Linked DNA regions of Pelodiscus sinensis. The protein of the gene in region 2 interacts with the protein of the main gene of each other region in a biochemical or structural test. Links are inferred from orthologs where the notes say so. Each region holds a gene or a part of one and is shown on either strand. Other genes may lie near its edges.

Region 1 (7,326 bases), on a different chromosome or scaffold from region 2:
GGGCTGCAGGAGGCGGCTGGTGGGACTGGGCGGCTGGGAGAGGATGTGACTTTCCGGAGGGACCCGAGCAGGCTTTGTGTGGACAACAAGGTACGAGGCGCCTCTTGGCCCCAACTAACTCGCTCTTCTCCGCCAGCGCGGCCGGCCGGCCGGGAAAGTTGAGTGTCAGGGCTGGGCACTGGCGGGGGGCCGCCAGAGCAACTTCTGTCCGCGCTTCCCCTGAGCCAGTCCTCGGGGGCAGGCGCAGCTGGGGAGCGGGGGAGATCCAGGGCAGGAGAGGAGGGGATCCCGTGCAGAGCGGAGCGCATGGCTAGCGGGGAAGGGTGGGCAGGCAGGGAGCCGGGAGCGGGGGGGGGGGGGGGGGGGGGGGAGCGCGGTTAGGGGCTCTGCAGCTGGGGGGAAAGGAGGCGGGCGGGGAGGGTTGGGAGCTGGGCTGCGCGGCAGCGGGGGGGACCCGAAGCCGGAACCAGACCTAATTAGGGGGTCCTGGGGTTCCCCGCTCAGCAGCCCCGCCGCTGCCTTTGTTCCCCGCCGGATCCGCGGGCGCGCAGGCACCTGTCTGCCTGCTGCGCGCTGGGCAGGTCCCAGGCAGCACCGGGCAGTGCTCCGCTCCTCTCCAGCCCCCGCGGGGCGCGGGACTGCTGCTGGAATCCGCTCCGGGCAGCCGGGGCACCCCGGCGGCGGCTGGGAGCTGGGGCGGGCGGGGACGCGCCAGGCGGACCCGATAAGCGAGCCGGGCTTCCCCGGCTGCCAGAGCCTGGCGGGCGGGCTGCACAGAGCCCCGCGCGCCGTAATGGAGCCGGGAGTTGCGCAGGAGGCTGGCGGGGGGCGGGATTGCCCCGCGCTACGGGCGGGGAGCGCGGCCGCCTGCCCCCGGGCGGCAGGGAGCGCGGCGCGGCGGAGGGAGGCTGCCGCCCCTGGGCGCACGCCCCCCGCGCGGGGTGCCCATGGTGGGAGCCGGGAGAGGTTTGGTGGGAAAGGCGGCCCTCTGCCGGCCGGTGCTGGCGCAGCCGCGAGGAGCTGTGACCAGCCAGCTCAGTCCCCGGCTGCAGGCTGGTGGGTCTTCCACGGATCTTAGGAGCCACTTGAGCCCGCTTTGTCCGCTAAGCGCCATCGGGAGGGAGAGACGCTCCCGCAGGGAAGGCGGGATGGGTAGCTGCGTCTGGCAAGCCGTAGCGAGCGGGGCAGAGCGGGGCACAGCTGGCATCACTTCCAACGTGTGTGTGTTGTCTTAAGTGAGCTTGCTGTGGGGTTTTTCCCCCAGTCGGTAACCGCACTGCCCGGCGAACAGAGAGGAAGACGCGCACTTGCACAGGAGTGAAGGCCAAGTGGATTTCTAGGTGTTAGAGTAATCTCCCCAGTACTGGATCTCTTTCTGCCATGGTAGTTTGCTGGCTACACTGCTGTAACTCAAGCTGCTAAACAGCTTTCCAGTACAGCACCCTGAAGGAAAGCTGTAACATAGCGCAGTGAATACCAACATTGTACATCTTTTGTTTGCTAAAAGTTGATACTTTACATGCTCACATTCAAGACTGGTTTTTGTTTTCTATAGTCGTAAAAGTAACGCGTGGGCTTTCATTGTTTTGTGCGACATTAGATTTTCTCCAGATTTAAAGTTACTTGGATATGACATGGACAGCTTCAAGCTATGATAGCTTGAAGGAATTAAGCGGTGTAGTTTTGGCAAGGGGCACACACAAGTGTATGTATAACATATTGCCTGAAATGGTAAATGGAATGTTTGAGTATAAGGAGAAGAAACTCATTGACTGCCGCTCACAATAATGTATCTATACTATCAACTGAGGTACAGTTAGTGAATGGAAAGATTCACTTGTTGAAATGTAACCTTTCCTGGAATTTAAAACATGCTGGTTACCATAACTGGAATTCCAATGTCATAAAGTCTTTGTCCTGTTCATCAACTTTGTGTTAAACTGAAGAAAGAATATGAAAATGTCCAGTAAACAATTAAACTGATTATGCTCTGGGTGCATTCAATGAAGAAGGGAACTCTTTAAGGGGCAAAAGTTTCTATCTTTAAGTAAATTAGATAATAGCTATGTGTTCTTTCTTTTAAGAATTAGGAAGATGGTAAAAATTGATGTTTTTTTTTTCTGTCCTTGTTTCATGGCTGCATTGAAAATATTTCTCTTTCCTTTGAAAAGGAATTAGTGTTAAGTGGTAAGCTGTGTTGAATGGCCAAAAAACTAAATTAATGATTTGGATACCTTGCTACTGACTTTTTTTAAAAAAATACTCTTGTAATATTATAATGTAATATAATTATGGACATAATTTTTAATTCCAGAGATACTATTAGTGTCTTCACTTGAACAGTAAAGTTTTTTTACAATGTACATATTTACTTTCACTTTATTATAGGTTGCTGTTTTGAAGTTATTGCCATTGTGAGATCAATATTCATTACTTATTTATGCTTCTAGTAACTGAGTTTTAATGTATGCAGGGAATCTATCCTGGTGATATTTTCTCTTCAGCAAGTATTTATGTATCTGTCATTTGTGGTTTGATAAAAATACATATACATGAAAAATCTATGCTATTTCATATACATCTACACATAGAGGGGACAGGCTGTGAACCCCCTACTTATACATGTGAACACTTAGTCATTCAACAAGTCCCACTGATTTTTGGGTTGGTAGTTGTTCACCAACATGAATAAGAAGTTTGTAATTTATTTGAATGTGTTTAATCAGTTACCTCACAATAAAAGGTCATATTATTGATTTAGGGTCAATTTCTCATCCCTTAATCACAATGAATAGTAATTTAGTCCTTGAATTGCACAAAATTCAATAGATCTATCTGCTGAGTAAGATACTAATTAATGCAAGTAAGGGTATCAAAATTGGCCCTGTAGCATTTGAATTACTATGGGTCCAATGGTGGCCTGGTTTGTGAAGCTATGCAGTGATGTAAGCAGGAATAACGCTTTCTGCATCCATTTACTAGCTGTCTGAACCATGGGTAGACAGATGTGCAGGAAGAGGAAGTCTTCACAGAGGCATTATATCTCCTCCCACTGGGCATGTGTGGTGCTTTAGCTGTGCAGATGGACCATATGCAGGGTACCTGTCACTCAGACTATGAGGGGACCTGCAAGAGAGATTGAGACTCTTCTGGTACACTCCTGGGGTGGCGCAACAGTATGTTGTCCCTTATTCTGGGCTCAGGACAAAACCCCAACTTTGCCTCCTCCAATATAAAATCATTTGAAAAGTGCTGCTAGTCACTGTTAGTTAACACATCCAGGAAGACTCTTTCTACTATGCTCCATAAATTAACCAATTCTCTGCTGTCATACTATTACTTAAAGTTCAACTTCACCAAACCACAGCTGGGAAAACCCAAATATAAATATAATGCTTTCTGTTCAGACCCACCACATCCTAGCACTGCAGAGAGGATCCCATGGTTTTAACGCTGTAAAGTCAGGTTAAAGTAGGCCCTCAGGCTCAACATTTTAATTCTTATCTGAATAATCCTGCTGAAATGGAGGACTGGGTGTAGAGGTGTGAAGGAGAGGGCAAGAAGTGTATATTATACGTGTAAGGGGTTGAGAAGGCTAAACTGAAAAGGCTGGCTCTCATCAATATGCTTTCAAACATAAAACACATTAGTTTATATGTTGCCACAGAAGACTGAAGGACCCAGCTGAAAACACAGTACAGAGATACATTTTTTTAAATTCATTTTTCTAATGTTCAGTCAAGACACACGTAGGAAAATAAACATCCAATAAATCTTTTTTATAGTTGCACGCATAATGAAGATCCAGCACTGAAAGTAGTCTGCAGTTTTAACTTATTATCCTGACAGTAATTTCTCACTATAAACAATAGGACATAATAGCTGAAGAAGTAGAAGTTGTTGCATTATTGCTCAGTGAATAGATCCTCAAAGGTGCACATAGAAAAGCAGAAGTTAAGGAGAAGTTATGGGTAGAAGAATTTCAAACTTTGGGTATGTTAGCCTGAGAATGGAGATCAGTGAGCTTTCACACTTTTCTATACTCAGTACACCACTGCTTTAAGAATAAAAGGCCCTCAAATTTTACTTTAAGCGTTTGCCTTATAGATATATATGTATGTCTGAAGTGCAGTTTTAAGCATGTGTTGTGTGCCTACATTGAAAATCTCATATTGGCACTGCGTGGGGTAGTAGAGGCTCTGATGTAAGCAGATATATCCTTTTAGTAGAGTAATTACTAACTTGTCTTGACTTGTTTTCAAATTATTGTTATGAGCACTCAGTTCCTCCTAATTGCAGAATTGCTGCTTAATTGAAAGACTCTCAATCATCTCTTACAGCAGTTCATATGCTGGCATGCTTGGTTATATCAAACAGTGAACTGTATTTTAAATAGTTGTTTTTAAAGACAGCTAAAGTTGAGTACTGGCTCAGTAATTTAAAAAAAATACTTCTGAAATGAGACGTGGTGGAATAAATTACAGACTCTACTTCCAAAAAAGGAAAAATGTGAGTAATATCTCCATTGAGGCATCTTATTGCAGTGAACAAACAGTACAGATGTGCTTTTAAACAAGCGGATTGGTGTACAGCTGGATCTGAGACTGACAGCTGGTAAATTGTGACTACTGTGAATCATGCTGAGCACTATTAACTCATTGTTGCCTTATGTTTTCCTGTCTGACTATCCATCTGCTGTCTTTTGTCTGGTACCTGGATTGTAAACTCTTTGGGGGGAGTGGCTTTGTACCATGTTTGCACAGCACCTATCACAATGGAGACTCCAGGATGCTGTCACAGTAATAATGTAGATTAACTACCCTGTGTGTGCATTTAACAGCTTGCTCTTATACTAACTTGTGTATTAAATGATGTTGCCAGATTAAATCCTGGTGCCACCTGGAGGCAGACTAAATACTAATAGACACCATATAAGACGGAAGAAAATTCTTTAAATTTTGGACTAGACGGGTGTGTTAATAGGACAGCTCTTTTGTTGGAATACCACTTACAATTATTTAAGCTAGACATATATTGCTATAATTTTAGGTGCTGATCCTTCAGACATGGATATTGGTAACTGTATTCAAATGTGAAGTCTCACCAACATCTCTGAATATTCACATGAGTAAATTTGTGCAAAAGTGTCTTTGCTGGTTTAGGGTCTTAATTTTTCACTTTCTTCACAATACTGGGACAGATCCTCAGCAGGTGTAAAGTAGCTGCATTAACTTCAGCTGAGCCAGACTGACTAGCTGAGTTCTGTTAACATATTGAAGATATGATGACATTAACCACATATTTGCTAATCGTGCTAGATCAGCTTTGTTAAAGGAGGTGCTCAAAATGAAATTAGGATACTTTTAATCATGATAAGTATTAATTCCAATTCTTAATAAATCACTCAAATATGTGAAGTGAAAAGGAAGGGAGTAGTTTATATTTTCTAATACAAACAAAGGATTTGCTGGGACAATACTGACTAGCTATGATTATAGTCCCTTAGTTACCCTGACTTGTCCCAAACATCCCATTACAGCATAATCTCTAGACATCGCTAATTGATTCAGCTGTCTGAAGTTGAGTTCCATTGGACCACTAGGAAAAGTAAAATAAGACTTTACGTAAATACTTACATTTTCATGAGTCCATGACAGCTGTCATCATGCTGTAGCAGTTGTAGATTTACTTCATTTAGAATGTAGTCTCTTTGCATGAAGTAATTCTCTTTTCAACTAGTTAATTAAAACTCTCATTATTTACCATGGCAGTGTGTACAGAATTGAAAGCATGTAAATCCTCTAAAATGCTTGAAATGTAATGGCTCTTTGTTCCATAAATGTGCCTTAATTTGGGGGCAATTAAATCTATTTGCCTTTTTCTATACACTTTGACAGCAAAATGCCAAAATCCTATTAACTTAATTTCCGACTGTATTATAAATTTACAGAGAAGTAGGTACGATGTTTTAATTTCAGAGGAGAATAATTGTAAAAGGTATCTGAAGGAGTTAAGAGGAATACTTATTACTAAATTCTAGATAAATATTTGTAGATCTGAATAGCTCAAAATCTGAACTACTACCGCCACCTAGAGATAAGTCCCACACATTTGCCAGGTATGCCAACAGCTTCTTTTGTGTGCAACTCTTGAAGATTGAATTTAGTGATGAGACTATTATCTTAACTGCTTCTGAGTAGACAGAATCTAGGTTTAGCTGTGCATAATGTCTTGTTTTTTAAATATTTATGCACTAAAATTGTGTCTACTTATCTGCCTCATCAGAAAAGTCATAATCTTCACATGGTCCAGTTTGTGTGGAGTAAACAAATAAACAAAGAAGGATCACTTTCAGTAAATCAAATGCCTGCTTTATATTATTGCTGGGGAAATATTTGCCAGTTAAATTTCTCTGGGTTTATTGCAGGTGTCATTGAGACTTGATGCATGTCCAAAGTGTACACCAAATAGATGAGTAGAAAATCCCTTCAAATATTTTATTTTAGTATACATGAAAACCTATTTTAAATCATTTTACTGAGCATGAAAGTAAGGGTGTTTTGATAGGAATTTTAAGAATTTTTTGAGGCTATGAAGTCCACTCTGCATTGAAGTACAGTAAATTGAAAACCTCCGCCATTGATCGGACTGTGTTCAGAATTTCAGCCACTATCTTTCAATACAGTTTTGAAATTGAACTGAGGAAAGGCTGTGCAGATGTGTGTTTATTTCCTCCAAATATTGGACAGTGAAGAGTGGATGCTTCCATTCTATGTGCGACTGCCTCAGAGAATGCCCTCCTTTATTCTGGGTTCCACAACTTCCCCTCTTAAATATCTCTTATATCCTTCTGTCTGGTGAAAATTATAGTACTTGCCTTCCATTTGGGAATATGCCCTTCCTTGGTGCAGCCATCAGGAGTTGCTCATACAGAACACTCGTGTGTCTCTGCATTCCTGACTCCCAGAACTCTTCGTCGTTTTTTTGATTATTTCTCCCTGACCTCACATAAGAGACCAGTGACTTAAAAGTAGACGTAAGCCACCAAGCTTGAGTAGATGTCTAGGAGATTGAGGTCCCCAGCTCCCACAGAATTGCAATGGAAGTTGAGACTTTAACTCGTAAGCAAATTTAAGTTTCAGCCATTAGTCTATAATATTTACTTAGCACCTTGTCTTTTTCAATGCTGACTCTGGTTATTTCTAAGACTCTTCAGAACCTACAATTACAGTTGCACAGTGTATTATGGTGGATGACTAATCTACGTTCCTTAAATTTCTGTTGCCATTCAAGGAGTTGTTATGATTGAAGGCAATCCTTTATAGT
Region 2 (7,179 bases):
AGCATTAACATGGGCTCCCCAATACTTGAGTGGGTCCTGAGCTCAGGGGTCAGAGCCAGGCAAGGCAGGGGCTGCAGTTGGCCCCCAGACTTGATGTTCCCCACCCCTGAATTGGAAGATGGCCCACCTAAGCAGAGAATACAGAATCAGGCCCCAAGCAGGAGCACAATCCTCTACACTGGTCTCAACTGTAGTGGCTCACAATGGCTGAAGTTGAAAACCCTCTGGTACCTACTTGTCAAAGCCCCATAAAAAATAAGGGTATTATCATGGTACAATACTTGCTTACAACTAGGGGGAAATGAGTGTCGCTCTGCATTCACAAGCAGACACAGCATTGCATCCTTTTTAGCTACCTTACAGAAAAGGAGCACGTGCACAAGGAGCTTACATGCATATTACCCAGTCCTCCTTTTACTCTATCAGAATGCACTATTTCCATTTCAAAAAAGTGAAGAAAACAAAATGGTCAAATTTTTGATTGGGGAAAGAGTGACCCATCAAAATGTTCTTGTTCATGAATAATGAATAGGACGAACAGGTAGAGGTGAACATGAGAGAATAAAGAGGTCCCTATTAATTTATTCTCTAGAAGAGATGTGGGATATGTGTAGTGTAGCAATTGTTTACAGATCTGTAAAAAAAAAATCTGTAAAAGAGAAAGATAAAGTGGCAGCTACATTGATACCTCTCCCAAGAAAAATCTGACAGAGAAGAATTTTCTGCTAACACATTGGCCTTCTACCAAAATCAGCACCAATCTGTGCGCTATACTCCTTTATTATCTAACTTATTCCCAGGAAACTGTACCAAGGGCAATTAAGATGTATAATCTAAATGGCTTCAAAATTATATCTTTGGGAAGTCAAGTCTAAATTAAATCATACCAGGCTTTTAGGCTTCCAACGATCACATTTTCCTACCGAGCAAGTGCCTTTCAATGCAGAGAACTTCTCCTATTACAGATCGTTCACAATCTTTCCTTAAGCAAAACCTCCTTTCCTATTTGGTGTTCTTCGCAGAGCGAAATTAAAAAAAAATACTGGCTACTGTTGAGGCTTGCAAAAGAGATGCTGCAAGGAAAATGTGAGCATCATTTCTGCAAGCCTTAGAGGCAAGCAACACAAAATGCAAAGGATTCTCTCTTGTATCTACATACTGTGGAGATTCTCTGTCCCTTTATACATACACACTCTCTCTCTGGCTTTCTCTCCTAGGCAGATTGATGTACACACATAGAAAATACAATGATTAGTTATGTAAATTAGCTGGTACACACATGTACTAGCTGTGGATACACCGAAAGAGAGAATATCCATACACGAGCTGGATGCAGTATCATAATGGAAATGACATAAAATTAAAGCGATAAAAGGGATCTCCTCGTTTGTGCCCAGCCGCTGCTCTACTCACATGTCGGTGATGTTCTCCCGCTCGGCGCTTCTCTCCAAGACCGGGAAGGACACGATGCCCGGCGCGGGCTCGATGCACCAGATCCGCGAGGCGCTGCATGTGCAAGGCGCGGGGCAGGCGAGCAAAGCCCTCCAGGAGCCCAGCACCAGGCAGCAGACGCTCCAGAGCCGGGCCAGGCCGGGCCCCTGCCACCTCCTCCGCCAGGACACCATGCTGGCCCCGATCAATCCAGCGCTGCCCGCTGCCCCGACGGCCTCCTCCCGCGACCGTGCGCGGAGCCCCCTGGGCGCTTCACAGCGGCTGCGACTCGGGCATCCTGCTGCGGGCGGGCTCGGTGCCGGCCCCGGCTGGGCTCACATGGGCGCGCCGGGCCGGGCGGGAGCGACGCCTCCGCTCCCCGCGGGCTCCCCGGGGCCGCTCGGGGCGAGCGCTGGAGGCGGCGGAGCTGGAGGAGAGAGAGACGCGGGTGAGAGCGGAGCCGGTCCCGGCCCAGCCTGGCCCCCGGCCCGCCCGGGGTCCCCACAGCCTCGGTGGGGGGCAGGGAGAGAAGCCGCCGGGGAGCCCCCGCGGGCACTAGCACCTGCCCCGGGAGCCGAGCGCGGGCCCCTGGCGGGCACCCGGGGCAGGGACCGTCCCCTCCCGCCCTGGCAGCTGCGCCTGCGGCGGGGCCGCGGCAGCTCCTCGGCTCCCGAGGATGCTGCAAAGCGCCGGGCGGAGCGGGGAGGGCAGGGGAGCCGGTCACCCGCAGCCCCCGGGCTGGACACTGCAGGGGGCGGAGGGCGGAGGCTCCTACCTGCGGGGGCGCTGCCTGCTCCGGCCGCTGCTGCCGGGGGCAGAGGAGTCAGCGCGCTGCTGCTGCGGGGGGATCGGGGCTCCCGGCTCTGCCCTTTAAGCACCGTCTCCAGCTGATAATAAAGCAACCCAGGCTCCTGCTCTAGCCCAAGCTGAGGAGCTGCTGGCAAAGTGACGTGGGGCTGACGCAGAGAGGGGCAGAAACTCCACAAAATGAGCCTGGAATTAAAAAAAAAAAAAAAAAAAGACAAAAGCAAGCAGGGGCGAGGGAGGGCTGGAGGGAGGGTGCCGAGAAGGAGATGCCAATAGGCAGCCAGGAGCCTACACACATACAAACAATCACACACGCACAAGAGAGAGGTGAACCATCAGCATGGGCCCTCCTCTGGACCCTCCGTCTTCTCCGTGTAGGAAGCCAAAGCTTCCTTCTCCAACCCCAGACACGCATCTTTCCCATCCCCAGAAAGACACAGACGTGATGTGCATGGGAAAGGGAGCGCGTTTCGCCACAACCTAAGGCAGCCGGTTGCGTGTGGCTTGTTCTAATATGAACATCATGGCTTTCTGCATAGATCGCTCTGTACGGGCTTTCTGTGCCCGGCTCACTGACATACCTAGTGACATGCCCCTTCTCGACTGCTCAGCTGGCTGGTTTCTTCCCTTGCTTTTTTTGGATGCAGTTATCCCGGCCCGGTGTCTCGGACCTTCCGTGCGCTTACATTGCGTAATAGTGACTGGAGACATACACCGCTTTTGCCACGAGCCCTTTAATCCTCGGCGGGGATCACTATTAGGCTAATTCGCCTTATAGATTTGCACGCCTCCGCTGGGGCATATAATACACAAACATATGCGAAGAGAAAAACGGTTATTGAAAAGAATATGATCTTTCATGCTCGCATAATAAAATGCAATCGCTTTAAGAACTCAGGTATGTGATGAATGAGCGACATTAAAATGCCTTGTCTGGGAATTTGCCTTTTCATTAGTGGCTCTATAGGATTTTTTTTTCCGCAGTAATTTGAAAGAAACAGGAAAATCCACCGCAGTGCTTCAGACTTCAGGGAGCTCTGGCGCCACCGCGTGTTTACAACCTGAACACCACCACAAGCAAAAGAGAATGCGCCAGCAGGCAGTGTATGCAGTACACTGCCCATCTTACCGTGTACATCCTTTCCTCCTTCTTCTGGGCTGCACTACTCAAGGAAATCCACCGTAATAGTGATGGTCTTAGAGGGAATTCAGAATTGTGCTATCTGTTGTATTAGTGTTTTACTCTAATGCCAAAAGGGAAATGGGAATTAGATGTAAATTAGATCTTTTCTAATTTACGTGAGCAAATTGATGTGTGGACACAAATTAGATCTCCTACAGGTAAATAAGCATGTAACAGGTGTGCACACCACTATCTGATTTGCACATATAAACTAAGTGAAATAGCACACACCTACTTTAAATATCTGGTTCAATATGACTAATCTTGTTGCCTTGTCTTCTTCATCACAGATCGCCTTTGACCAAGCTCCATTGAACAACAGTGGAAAACACCAGTGCATTCACTGCATCACCTTTAATTAAATTTCTCCTAAGTAGGCCTCCAAGCAGTTTGGTCTAGAAATGGTAGCTTTTACAAAGCTTGCGTTGAAGGCTCTATCTCATCTTAATTTTATATTAACCAACTGAGGATTTTTATATAATTAGTTCAGAACTTCACTGTAGAATTAAAAAGGCAGATAGGTTGAAGTGATGTTCTAGAAGTGTGTATCAAGCGGTGATCACAATGTTTTGAAAGCACTCAGGTGTTACCTTGACATAGCACTTTTACTAATTGCATGAGCACTCAACTCTTGTGTAAGTCTGCTCAGGCTTCAAAAAACATTGAATTCTCACTGGGCACTCGAAGATTTGGCACTTCCAGACAAAATCCCTATTATCTTATAAGCATAGCCACAGCCATCCTAGTAATATTATACCTCTCTTCTAATGGAATGACTGAAGATAAGAAACATAGGCATACAGTGGAATCCGGATTATCCGACACCTGGTAATCTGACACTCCGCTTTATCTGACCCTGCAGCTTTGTCCCCAGAAGCTTCAGGGTCGGATACAGTCCGGACTGGGAGAACGGCCCCGCTTGCTGCCCTGTCACTCTCTTTGAGCAGCTGCTGCAGCTCCTGCCAGAGACAACGAGGCAGGAGCGCATCAGCTGTCCTGTTGCTCTCTAGGAGCAGCTGATGCGGCTCCTGCCAGGGAAGAAGCGCCCCGGCAGGAGCCGCATCAGGTCGGTCCCATTTAGGTTGGATGATAAGGACTCTACTGTATTTGGAAATATTGCCAACAATGTCTTTGGGTTAAATTAAATATATTTTGCATGTGCGTAAATGTTATTAAATTGTTATCCAGATATAAATCTACTATCAAGAGTACATTCCCCTTCTTTCCTATGTCATGGCAAAATGCATGCAGCCAAACAGCATCATAAAAGAAGCAGGATACCTGTCAGGGAGCCATGCCAGTAAATCTTGACTGCTACAGTAATTATCTTTAAAAGGGGAAACAGTCATCCTAACTTCAAACCAATCTAATTTCATTATTTGAGAGAGTTACTGGTCAAGTGGATGGATAGAGGGGAAGATGTAGATGCAATATATCTTGATTTGGATTTTGACAAAGGGCCCCACAACAGTCTCATAAGCAAACTAGGGAACTATGGTCTAGATTAAAGTACTATATAGTAGATACATAGCTGGTTGACAGACCATACTTTAAAAGCAGTTATCAGTAATTCACTGTCACATTGGGAGGATGTATCCAATGGGGGGTCTCAGACATCGGTCTGGGATAATACAACACTATTCAATATTTTAATTAATAATTTGGATACTGGAGTGGGGAATATGCTTATAACATTTTCAGATGACACCAAGCAGGGAGAGGTCATAAACAAGAGGGTTCAAATGACTTTGACATGGGAGAATTGGTCTGAAATCAGTAAGATGTAATTCAATAAATACAACTGCAAAATCCTTCACTAAGGAAAGAAAAATCAAATGAAGAAATTCAAAATGGGGAATAATTGGTAAGATGGTCATACAAAGAAAAGGATGCAGGAATTATAGTAGGTTACAAATTGCGTATCATCATCAATGTGATGCAGTTTAAAAAGGGTAATATTCTGACATGTATTAACAGGAATGTTGTATATAAAACATGAAAGGTAATTGTCCCACTCTACTCAGCACTGATGAGGCAGAAGCTGGAATACCACGTCCAATTCTAGATGCCACATATCTAAGTAAGATGTGGACAAACTGGAGAGAGTCTAGAGGAGATCAACAGAAATGTTAAGATTTAGAAAACCTGACTTAGAAGGAAATGTTAAAACAAGTGGGCATGGTAAGTCTTGCTAAAAGAAGATGGTGGAGGGTGGAGGGCACTGGTAATAGTCTTCTTATATATATATGTGTGTGTGTGTGTTAAAGGCTGTTAGAAAGCGAAGTATGATACATTGTTCCCCATGTCCACTCAAGGTAGCATAAGAAGTAATGAGTTTATTCTGCAGCAAGGGAGATTGAGGTTAGATGCTAGGAGCAATAACCTCCAACTATAAGGGTAGTTAAGCACTGGAATGGGCTTCTATCATTTGAGGTTTTTAAGAACAAGTGGGGCAATCACTTGTCAGGATTAGTGTATCTTTCTTTAGTCTGGCCATAGCGTAGGGGACTGGACTTGATGACTCAAGCCAGCAGTGGATATAGAGCAGGGCGAGTGGGGCGGCTGCCCTGGGTCCTGCGCTTCAATAGGCCCTGTGCACATGCCCCATGCACGCTACTTCCGGTTGGCTGCTGCAGAAGCGCATGCACGAAATTGTGCCATCTCAAGCCCCGCGGCGCTGCCCTGGGCCTCGCAAAATTATCACCCTGACTCAAGCTCCCTCCAAGCCCTACGTTTCTAGGATTCCTCTGCTTAGTGACAATTATCTTGGTACTACAGGACTAAGAATGTTAAGAAGCGGGTATTTGACTTAATCGTGTAGTGGATACAATTTGTATCCACTACACAATTTGTTGATAAGGGGCCCTGTTGAGGCTCTACAGTTTAAATGTAGTAGGAGCCCTGCACACAGGCATCCTGGCTCCTACTACATTTAAACTGCAGAGTCACAGCAGGGGTATGTCCCTGGCCTGGCGTGAGACAGAACTGAGTAGTCCTGGCTCCCACAGGGTCCCGGACCACTACACCTCTGCCTCTCCTGCCCATTCCCCCTGCACTGTGCAGTTGGTGCTGGCTCCTGCTCCCCCCACTTGCTGCCTCTGATACAGAGGCAGCAAGGGTGGGAGGAAGTAAGTAGTCGAGTAGTGATTTGACTAGTCACTTACATCCCTATACAGGACCAAATAAATTTTTAGCTGTCCCTGATTTCTTATTTTCTGCAAAGACGACATTTGTTGTGCCTAATACTTCTCTCACATTAATTGTATGTATGTCTAATTCTACCAATTCACACCAGTGTAAATAATAAGAATACTTTCATGAGTCCTTTTTTTTAAAATCCCGATGTATATGGGGGAGAGAAATTATTTATTATTTGTGTATTACCATAGTGCCTAAGAGCATGGACTAGGCCCTCTTATACTATGCGTTATACAAATACAGGATGAAAAGATGGTCTCTGCCCCCCCAAAAAATGTAATCTCAAATCCACACTGGCAGAAAAAAATGGTGTAAGATATGCAATTCCAGCTATGTCTATTGCATAGCTAGAGTTGACATATCTTACGTCGATTTTCTGAGGTGGCTCCACACAGGAGGAGGTTGATACGGTGAATGAAGATGCCCTTAGCATTTGATTTAGCATGTCTTTACTAGACCCACTAAATTGAACCCTGGAAGTCGATTGCCATAGCATCGATCCTCCAGTAATTGGAGATGTGGGCTTAGTATAAGACAAGAGACAACAGATAGATACCTAG
Region 3 (8,033 bases), on a different chromosome or scaffold from region 2:
CATGCATCTTTAATTGCCTGTTTTCAAAACAAGGCAAGAGTAGCAAAAATATACAACCAGGAAGAACCTTTCATACTACTTCTCTATTCCACCTAGCTCACCATGTGAGCTTCCTCTACTCCCTGTTCCCATCAATTATGACCCCCTTACTAAACCAATTACATCATTAGCCCAATTTCTACACAGGTGTCAGTAATCTCCATGGAAATAGATTAAGGTTGCTACAGCACAAAGAAGACTCCAGATGCAACTGGAGACAATGACCAGAGTGCTACAGCTAGCACTCTATCACGTGTACCTAAGCTCTCAATTATAGAAGACAGTGAACCATACACATTGCTGGAGAAAGCTGTGAGGCCATAACCTATCAACCTGGGAGAGTGAATCCTCTATCAACCTTTCAAAACAGGGATAAACTGACATTTGTCATACAACCATCCTCATGCTGCCAAACCAACATGCCCCTATTCTGACCTGGTACTTAAATGCCATGGCCCTGTTAAGAATGCAGCCAACACCAACTCAAGATGCAATCAGATTTTCTCTTTTGATCACTGCCAACTAAAATTCAGCACACACTGGTAACTAAAGGAGAGTTAGTTAAAAAGCTATGAATATCCAAAGCATCATTTTCAAGATTGCTTCTCTAGCACAAATTAAGCAACTGCTTGCAATTACTGTGGTTGTTACCCAATAGGGAGCATAAGATTATGCTGCAAGAACTTCAACTTGATGACATGAGTTAAAGTGGTGCAGCAGCCACAACTGAATTTCTTTATGTCATAATTCACAACTTTGACTAACGTATTACAAACTTGGTCTGATGTTAAAGTTATTTCCTGAGCACTGAGTCTGACACACATCAAATGTTTCAAGAACAGATTAGAAAGAAAAAAACCTCGTTTCACAAATTCACATGACTTTCAACTGCTATCAAGTTACCAACTATTAGAACACTGCAGGAAGCAAAATATCTTCAGAAGTGAACCCTAAATTAGATGTCTTTTAACTCTTCATTTCTAATTTTGCAAAGCAAATACCTTCCCTTAGGAAGCTCAAGATGTTCCATTAGATTGTTCACAGCATACTGTGAACAGAAAAAACTATTATACCTCTTCTGTAAAACTCCATGGCAAGATAAGTTCACAAAAAATGGGCAGGAGAGCCCAATTTTAGATATTGATCCTTTCTGTAGATCACAGCAATCTGGTAGCATCTGAACTTAATTGATGTCAAAACACTCATTACAACAGATCTTACAAAACATCAGCTAAAAAGGACAAATTAGAGGTTTGTGAAGAGAACTCAGTCCCACACAACTTTGCCTTTGTAAAGCAATGAGACAGCAATAGCAAAAAACTTGTTACTTTATATTAATGCTACCTGATCAACATATTAGAAGATTCAGTTAATCAACCCAGCTGTTAGCGTTCCTTATCCTCTCATATCCTGTTTATTTTAGGGATATATTGTCCAGGGAGCTTGTTAAAAATACAAGCAATGTAAATTAGGGACTGCACACTCAAAATCCACCACATGGCCAGTAAAAAAAAAAAAATGTATCTTTTTTCTAAAGTTCTGCTACTATGAAAATGAAATGCTTCCGGGTAAGTACAACAGCAAAACAATTTAAACATCTATTTTATATAAACATCATTACTGATAAATAATCTCTACCCTAGGCACACTATAAACAAGTACACACAACAAATGTTACAAACTTTATATATTAAAATGATTCAGAAACCACATACATAGAACCTCCTTCCCAACACCAATCCACTGGGAAAGTGAGCTGGGTGTGAGTATATGATTTCAGACCCCCTCAGGGCTCAAGAATGGAATTTATTGCCTCTTCTTAGATGGGGGGGGGGGGGAGAAGGGGATGTTGAATCAGGCTTGTACAAGGATGGTTGGAAAAATGTGTCAAAAACTATTCCCTATTCAGATGCAGGGATGGGGGTGGAATATTATAAGGGGTATCAGTTCTCTATTTTGTGTACAATGGGTGAACATACATACTTCACCCTCCCCAGGGCCCTGTGCAGGGAGCTGTATTATAGAGATACACATAGGAAGTGAAATGCTCACTTCAGGGTTTTGTCCTGAGTGCTTGCTATTCCCCCAAAACCTTGCAATAAGGTGTGTCCTTTTTGAGGGGAGGGAAGGGAAGTTTCCTTCCAGCCCAGTCAGAAGATTGAGCAAGGGTGGGGAAAAATACAGAAGAGGAAGGTGTATAACTAGAAACCCAAGAATCAGACGTGAGGGCTAGTTTTGGAAAGGATCTACTGGAAGAAGAGGGGCCTCTACATCGGACTGTCTACTTGAGGCGGAACAAATGGGGGAAGAAGATTGCAGGGCTCACCCTCGAGGCTCATGACACGAGAGGGAAACTCCCAAGCTGGACCGGGTGGGGGAAGCAGAGCTCGCCCCCAAACCAGACAGAGCGCAGCGTTTCCCCTCCACAAAACCCTGGGAGAGGGGGAGGGTGCACATGGGGAGAAGGGGGCAGAGATCCTCACAGGGCCGTGAGCAGGACGGCAGCGGGGGGGGGGGGGGGGAATAAATAAGCTGCAGGGCACAGCTCCCCATCCAAGGGACGGAGCCAGGGGCTCGGAAGTGAACACAACCCCTCACCGCCAGCCACGGACCCGGACGGAGAGGGGGGAGCGGAGTGCGGGGAGGGGGGGGCAGAGCCCCCCAGAGCTCCGGATACGGAGAGGGCAGTGCTCCCGCCTCCCCCCCCAGGCAGGGCCCCGGAAAGGGAGGGGGACAGAGCTCCCCGCGCTGGTGCAGCCGGCCCGGCCCCTCACCTGGTAGATAAGAGCCCAGCTGGCGGCCTGGTCGAGCTGGCGGAACTCCTTCTCGATCTCCATGGCGGGGGCCCCCCGGGCCTGGCCCCCCGCCGCCGCCTTCGCGCCCTGCTCCTCCGGCTCCAGCTGCTCGCGGGGCCGCCGCTGCCTGCTCTGCATGTCACTCCCCGCCCCGGCCACCGGAACTACGCCGCGGCCGGCCACGCCGCTTCCGGGCCCGCCTCCGCCCCCGCCGGGGGAGGGGCAGCTTGGGAGAGCCGGGGAGAGAAGCCGTAAGTGCCCCCCCCTTCCTCCACTGTGGCGTGACAGACAGACGGGCGAGCTGTGCCCCGCCCCCCGACAGACAGACAGACGGGCGAGCTGTGCCCCGCCCCCCCGACAGACAGACAGACAGACGGGCGAGCTGTGCCCCGCCCCCCCGACAGACAGACAGACAGACGGGCGAGCTGTGCCCCGCCCCCCCGACAGACAGACAGACAGACGGGCGAGCTGTGCCCCGCCCCCCCGACAGACAGACAGACAGACGGGCGAGTTGTGCCCCGCCCCCCCGACAGACAGACAGACAGACGGGCGAGCTGTGCCCCGCCCCCCCGACAGACAGACAGACAGACGGGCGAGCTGTGCCCCGCCCCCCAGACAGACAGACAGACAGACGGGCGAGCTGTGCCCCGCCCCCCCCGACAGACAGACAGACAGACGGGCGAGCTGTGCCCCGCCCCCCCCGACAGACAGACAGACAGACGGGCGAGCTGTGCCCCGCCCCCCCCGACAGACAGACAGACAGACAGACGGGCGAGCTGTGCCCCGCCCCCCCGACAGACAGACAGACGGGCGAGCTGTGCCCCGCCCCCCCGACAGACAGACAGACAGGGGAGCTTTACTCCCCCCCAGAAGGACAAGCAGGCAGTGCAGTGCCCCCGTCCACGTCTGAGGCCTGACAAAGAGACAGAGAAGCTGGTCTCCCTCTCCCCTGCCGGGTCCTGTCCCCCTCCCCAGTAGAACAGACAATCGGGGCAGAAGAGCTGTGCCTCCCCCGGGACAGACAGACAGACAGGGGAGTTGTATCTCCCCACCCCAGGGCTAACACTGACCTCCCCGAAGATAGGCATATGGGGGAAGCTGTGCCACCCTCCAAGGCCTGAGGACAGACAGGGGAGTCATGAGGACTGACAGAAAGATAGAGTCTGTATTTTTTCTCCAGCCTAAAGACAGACAAATTTGGTAACACTCTTACCTTAGTTATGTCTAATTATACCTGGGACTGGCAGATGGGTGGTGTAATGCTATGTTTTCCCCACTCCGTTCCAGTTCCCTATGTCCATTTGCCAGATCAGAAAGGGTATGTCTACACTTGCACCCTCTTTCGAGAGAGGGATGCAAATGAAGATATTTGAAATTGCAAAGGAAGCTGGGATTTAAATATCCCGTGCTTTATTTGCATATTCATGTTATGGTGCTATTTTGAAATAGCACTATTTCGAAATAACAGACGCTGTTAAGACGCGGTTATTTCGAGATAAAACCCTTCTCTTGAAATAACCCTTATTCCTCATAAAATGAGGTTTACCAGTTATTTCGAGATAAGGCCATAACAGCGTCATAATTTGAATATGCAAATGAAGCATGGGATATTTAAATCCCGGCTTCATTTGCAATTTTGAATGTCTTCATTTGCATCCCTCTCTTGAAAGAGGGTTCAAATGCAGACATACCCATATATAGTTCACACTGTTACTTTCACCACTCCCCACATAAGTAAACTGTACCATTTATTATATGTACAGTATATGTCACTACATGTACATAATTAGTTTTCAAAGGGGTTAACACACTCCTAGCCCCAATGAATTACGTTTGCTGTCCCAACCCTAAATAGAATCCACTCAAAATGTCATTGAGACATGTTGGACTCAGACATTTTGATACTACATTACTGGGACATAAACATCACCATTTTGTGATGCACAAATCTTTTTCCTGTGAGACAATCTTCAGGTGGCAGCTTTTAATCCAAAGGACCCTTAGAAGGTCAGCCTAGTCAGGCACTGGCAGTTCAGCCAATTACAATAGTTTACAGCTCACTACCATTTTTAATCTTGAAGGATGTCATATGCTCCATAAATTATATCCATTGACTAGGTTCCATTAAAATGCAACCAACCCTGGAGTGAAAGGCAGCAGCTTTTAAAAGCACACACCTTACATCATTCTCAGCTTTGATTCTATTTAGACATCAGCAACAGTTACTGCAACATAGAAATTTCCCTTCTAAACACAGACCTGCTTAGGACAGGATCAAGCCCAGGATGCCATAACTGTAGATAACTGAATTACTACAGTATAAAAGTTTTTCATAAGGAAAGTTAGCATTCAGACTTGTGGATTCATGACTCCTGCTCTAACTTGATAGATAAAATCAGTGCAGACTGTTTAGTCAAGGATCCATGAAGAACACAATTCTCTGAGGTACTGTTATCATAGAATAGTTGTCCCAGGTCACTAAGAGCCATATGCTGTCCTGGACAACTGGAATTCTGCCATAGACTGAAGGCAGCATTCACCCTGAATGGTTTAAAATAAACATAAGTAAGAGAAAGAAAGTTTATACATGCACAGTTACATTTACAGTTTGATTAATGATTTGCTTAAATCACTGGGAATTTTTAGTTCTGGGGATTCAGCATTAAATTACAGCTTTAAATTGGATTATAAAGATTCTCAAACATTTACATGTATATAATTAATAATGTCTTTGGCTGAGGGATAATTTATCATTGCAATAGTGCCCATCTGGTCCTATTTTTTTTCAGAAATGTGCATCTTAATTGTACTGTTATTGCAATTGCATGCACTGCTGTACTGTTTTGGTATTAAAATGCATGCACAATTCTAAAATCATGAAACCAGATGCATTTGCAATTAAGGTCCAGGCATTAGGTTTTCAAAAGGTTAGTCATTTAATGGCATAGGCAAATACATGCATAATAGTGTGTGTACTTTCCACATGCAATTGCACTTGCAAATTGGATAAATTAGACACTTTTTAGGTGGCACAGACACAACAATGGCAAATGGATTAAAAAATAACATACTTTAAACACGTGATAGTGTTTCTAATGTTTTAAAATCTGAGCACAGATTTTTATAATTTCATGTACATATATTCTGCAAGCAACTGCCACAACTGTTTTCAGAAATCACTGTACAGGCAATCCCCGGGTTACGTACAAGATAGGGACTGTAGGTTTGTTCTTAAGCTGAATTTGTATGTTAGTCAGAACTGGTACATATTGTAGGGGAAACTCTAGCCAAACATTTCTCCAGCGCTCAGTTTTATTCTCCCACACCTCACTCCTCAGTCCTTTATTCTCAAGCTGAGGTGTCTGCTGAGAAAAGCCACTCCGCGTCTCCCTGGTCTGCTGGGGGGAGCACTAGCTTCGCATCTCCCTGGTCTGCTGGGGGGAAGCAGCTAGTGTGGGGTTGCCTCACCCCGTTTGTAAGTAGGGATCCGATGTAAGTCATGTAACCCGGGGACTGCCTGTATCTGTGGTTACAAATGATCACGTACATATCAATAAGTTGATAACTTCTACCTGCAACCACCAAATTGTTTCTTGAAATGTCTAAAAATCATAGGCTGCAGTATACAGGCAATTGGCCCGATCCACAGGGCTTGTTAAGTCCCCTTTGTGTTGCTGGAGGATTGCAAAAGGCTCTTAAAGCACTTTATGCTAGCGTCAGAGGTATTCCCTGAGCTGGGGAATCTTTGGATACCTCCTGGTATATGTGTAGGGTTTCTGATTTTAGGTTTAATTGATAAACACTGATAAACATTCTGATACAAAAAATAAAACAAACAAAACACCCTAAATACCAGTGAAATCAACATTTATCCAATAAATCCTGGCAAAACACCAGAAATGGTTTCTTGTAGGTTGTGTGCACAGTTCAGTAATGCAGCCTATAGGGCTGCACTTTCTAAAGTGCACTAATGTGTTTCATTTAATTGGTCCATGAAGACCCTGCTGGTATGCACTAAAGGTTCCCTAGTGCTTTTTAACACTGGGAAACATTGCAAAGAGATTACTCATTGCAGTGTACTGTATTACTTATTTCAGTAAATGCAAAAAGAAAGTCCCCAAAACTCCTGATTTTTAGACAGCTACATAAACCTCAAAATAGCTAAAAATGAACCCTGAAAAATTAAATAAATAAACTGCTAAAACCAGACACCCTAAATATGTGTTTGGAAGTGGTGAGGACAGAGCACACAGCATTCTGCCTAATCTTTGGCCTGCACAACAGTCCTTAGGGGGTCCTTGATTTACTTTTACATCTCCCATGTAGTCTGAACTCTAAGCACCTGCAAAATTTGCATTTTTAAATGAATCTGTTTCTGAGGTATATCAATTAAAAAGGTATCTGGAAAACAGCAAACTAACCAATCAAAACACAAAGAACATGGTCTTATTTTCATCAGTTGGAGACCCACAAAATGGCTTATTCCATTTCAGCCATTCGATACAAATTTGCATCTGTGGTCACAATATTTCAGATTTCAAGATGACCTAGTTTTAAAAACAGCCAGAGTAATAAATCCCCATTAAAATGTTGTAAATAAGATACATGATGTTCCTGCACTGTGGCATTGTGACTCTAACAATACAATTACATATAATAATACATAACAGTTCCAGCAGGCTGGATGCCCAACCAGAAAGTTTGTCATTCACATTCAGCATACTTCATGTTATCAAACTAAACACAATTTCCCCATTAATCCACATTAACATCTCTGTTTTATTTAACAGAAAGACAGTCTTGTTTTAAACAAAGATGATACTCTGTTGGCAGCTTCTGAGAGGCCCTTTGGGTCTTCGAGCCTCAGATATTCTTTGTCCTTATTTTCTTACTAACTGTTGATAGTAAGTTAGGCTGTTCAGTGTTGAGTATTTACTGTGAAGATCCAACACAGTCTAGTCTCTATTCCCCTCATTCTCCAAAAATGCTACATTGTCAGATGAGGCACACACACACATTACAATGAATAAGAGCCAGACCCTAAGAGTTGAATCTCTGAACACCTGTAAAATCAGGAACAAATCTAATCCGAACAGACATCTGTGACTTAAGTTTACATAATATTGCATAGGTACAAGTTCCTAGGACTAAAAAGGAATTCAGTGATAATTAATTGATTGTGTATTGCTCCATTTAGTC

What was found.
Region 1: the proteins of NTRK2 (region 2) and BDNF form a complex in vitro, tested with the Homo sapiens proteins (3 studies listed by BioGRID). The link is inferred for Pelodiscus sinensis from reciprocal best matches to the Homo sapiens genes NTRK2 and BDNF.
Region 3: the proteins of NTRK2 (region 2) and PTPN1 form a complex in vitro, tested with the Homo sapiens proteins (2 studies listed by BioGRID, with this or other methods). The link is inferred for Pelodiscus sinensis from reciprocal best matches to the Homo sapiens genes NTRK2 and PTPN1.

Annotation. Positions count from the first base shown.
Region 1 is NC_134714.1:94,153,660-94,160,985, reverse strand, and holds the start of BDNF (neurotrophic factor BDNF precursor form), read left to right. Parts: upstream 1-4,271; 5' UTR 4,272-4,458; coding exon 4,459-4,509; intron 4,510-7,326. UniProt on the Homo sapiens protein: Important signaling molecule that activates signaling cascades downstream of NTRK2. During development, promotes the survival and differentiation of selected neuronal populations of the peripheral and central nervous systems.
Region 2 is NC_134716.1:40,936,620-40,943,798, reverse strand, and holds the start of NTRK2 (BDNF/NT-3 growth factors receptor), read right to left. Parts: upstream 3,105-7,179; 5' UTR 2,820-3,104; intron 2,425-2,819; 5' UTR 2,207-2,424; intron 2,132-2,206; exon of another isoform or gene 1,859-2,131; 5' UTR 1,626-1,858; coding exon 1,414-1,625; intron 1-1,413. UniProt on the Homo sapiens protein: Receptor tyrosine kinase involved in the development and the maturation of the central and the peripheral nervous systems through regulation of neuron survival, proliferation, migration, differentiation, and synapse formation and plasticity.
Region 3 is NC_134728.1:18,986,695-18,994,727, forward strand, and holds the start of PTPN1 (tyrosine-protein phosphatase non-receptor type 1), read right to left. Parts: upstream 3,037-8,033; 5' UTR 2,973-3,036; coding exon 2,814-2,972; intron 1-2,813. UniProt on the Homo sapiens protein: Tyrosine-protein phosphatase which acts as a regulator of endoplasmic reticulum unfolded protein response. Mediates dephosphorylation of EIF2AK3/PERK; inactivating the protein kinase activity of EIF2AK3/PERK.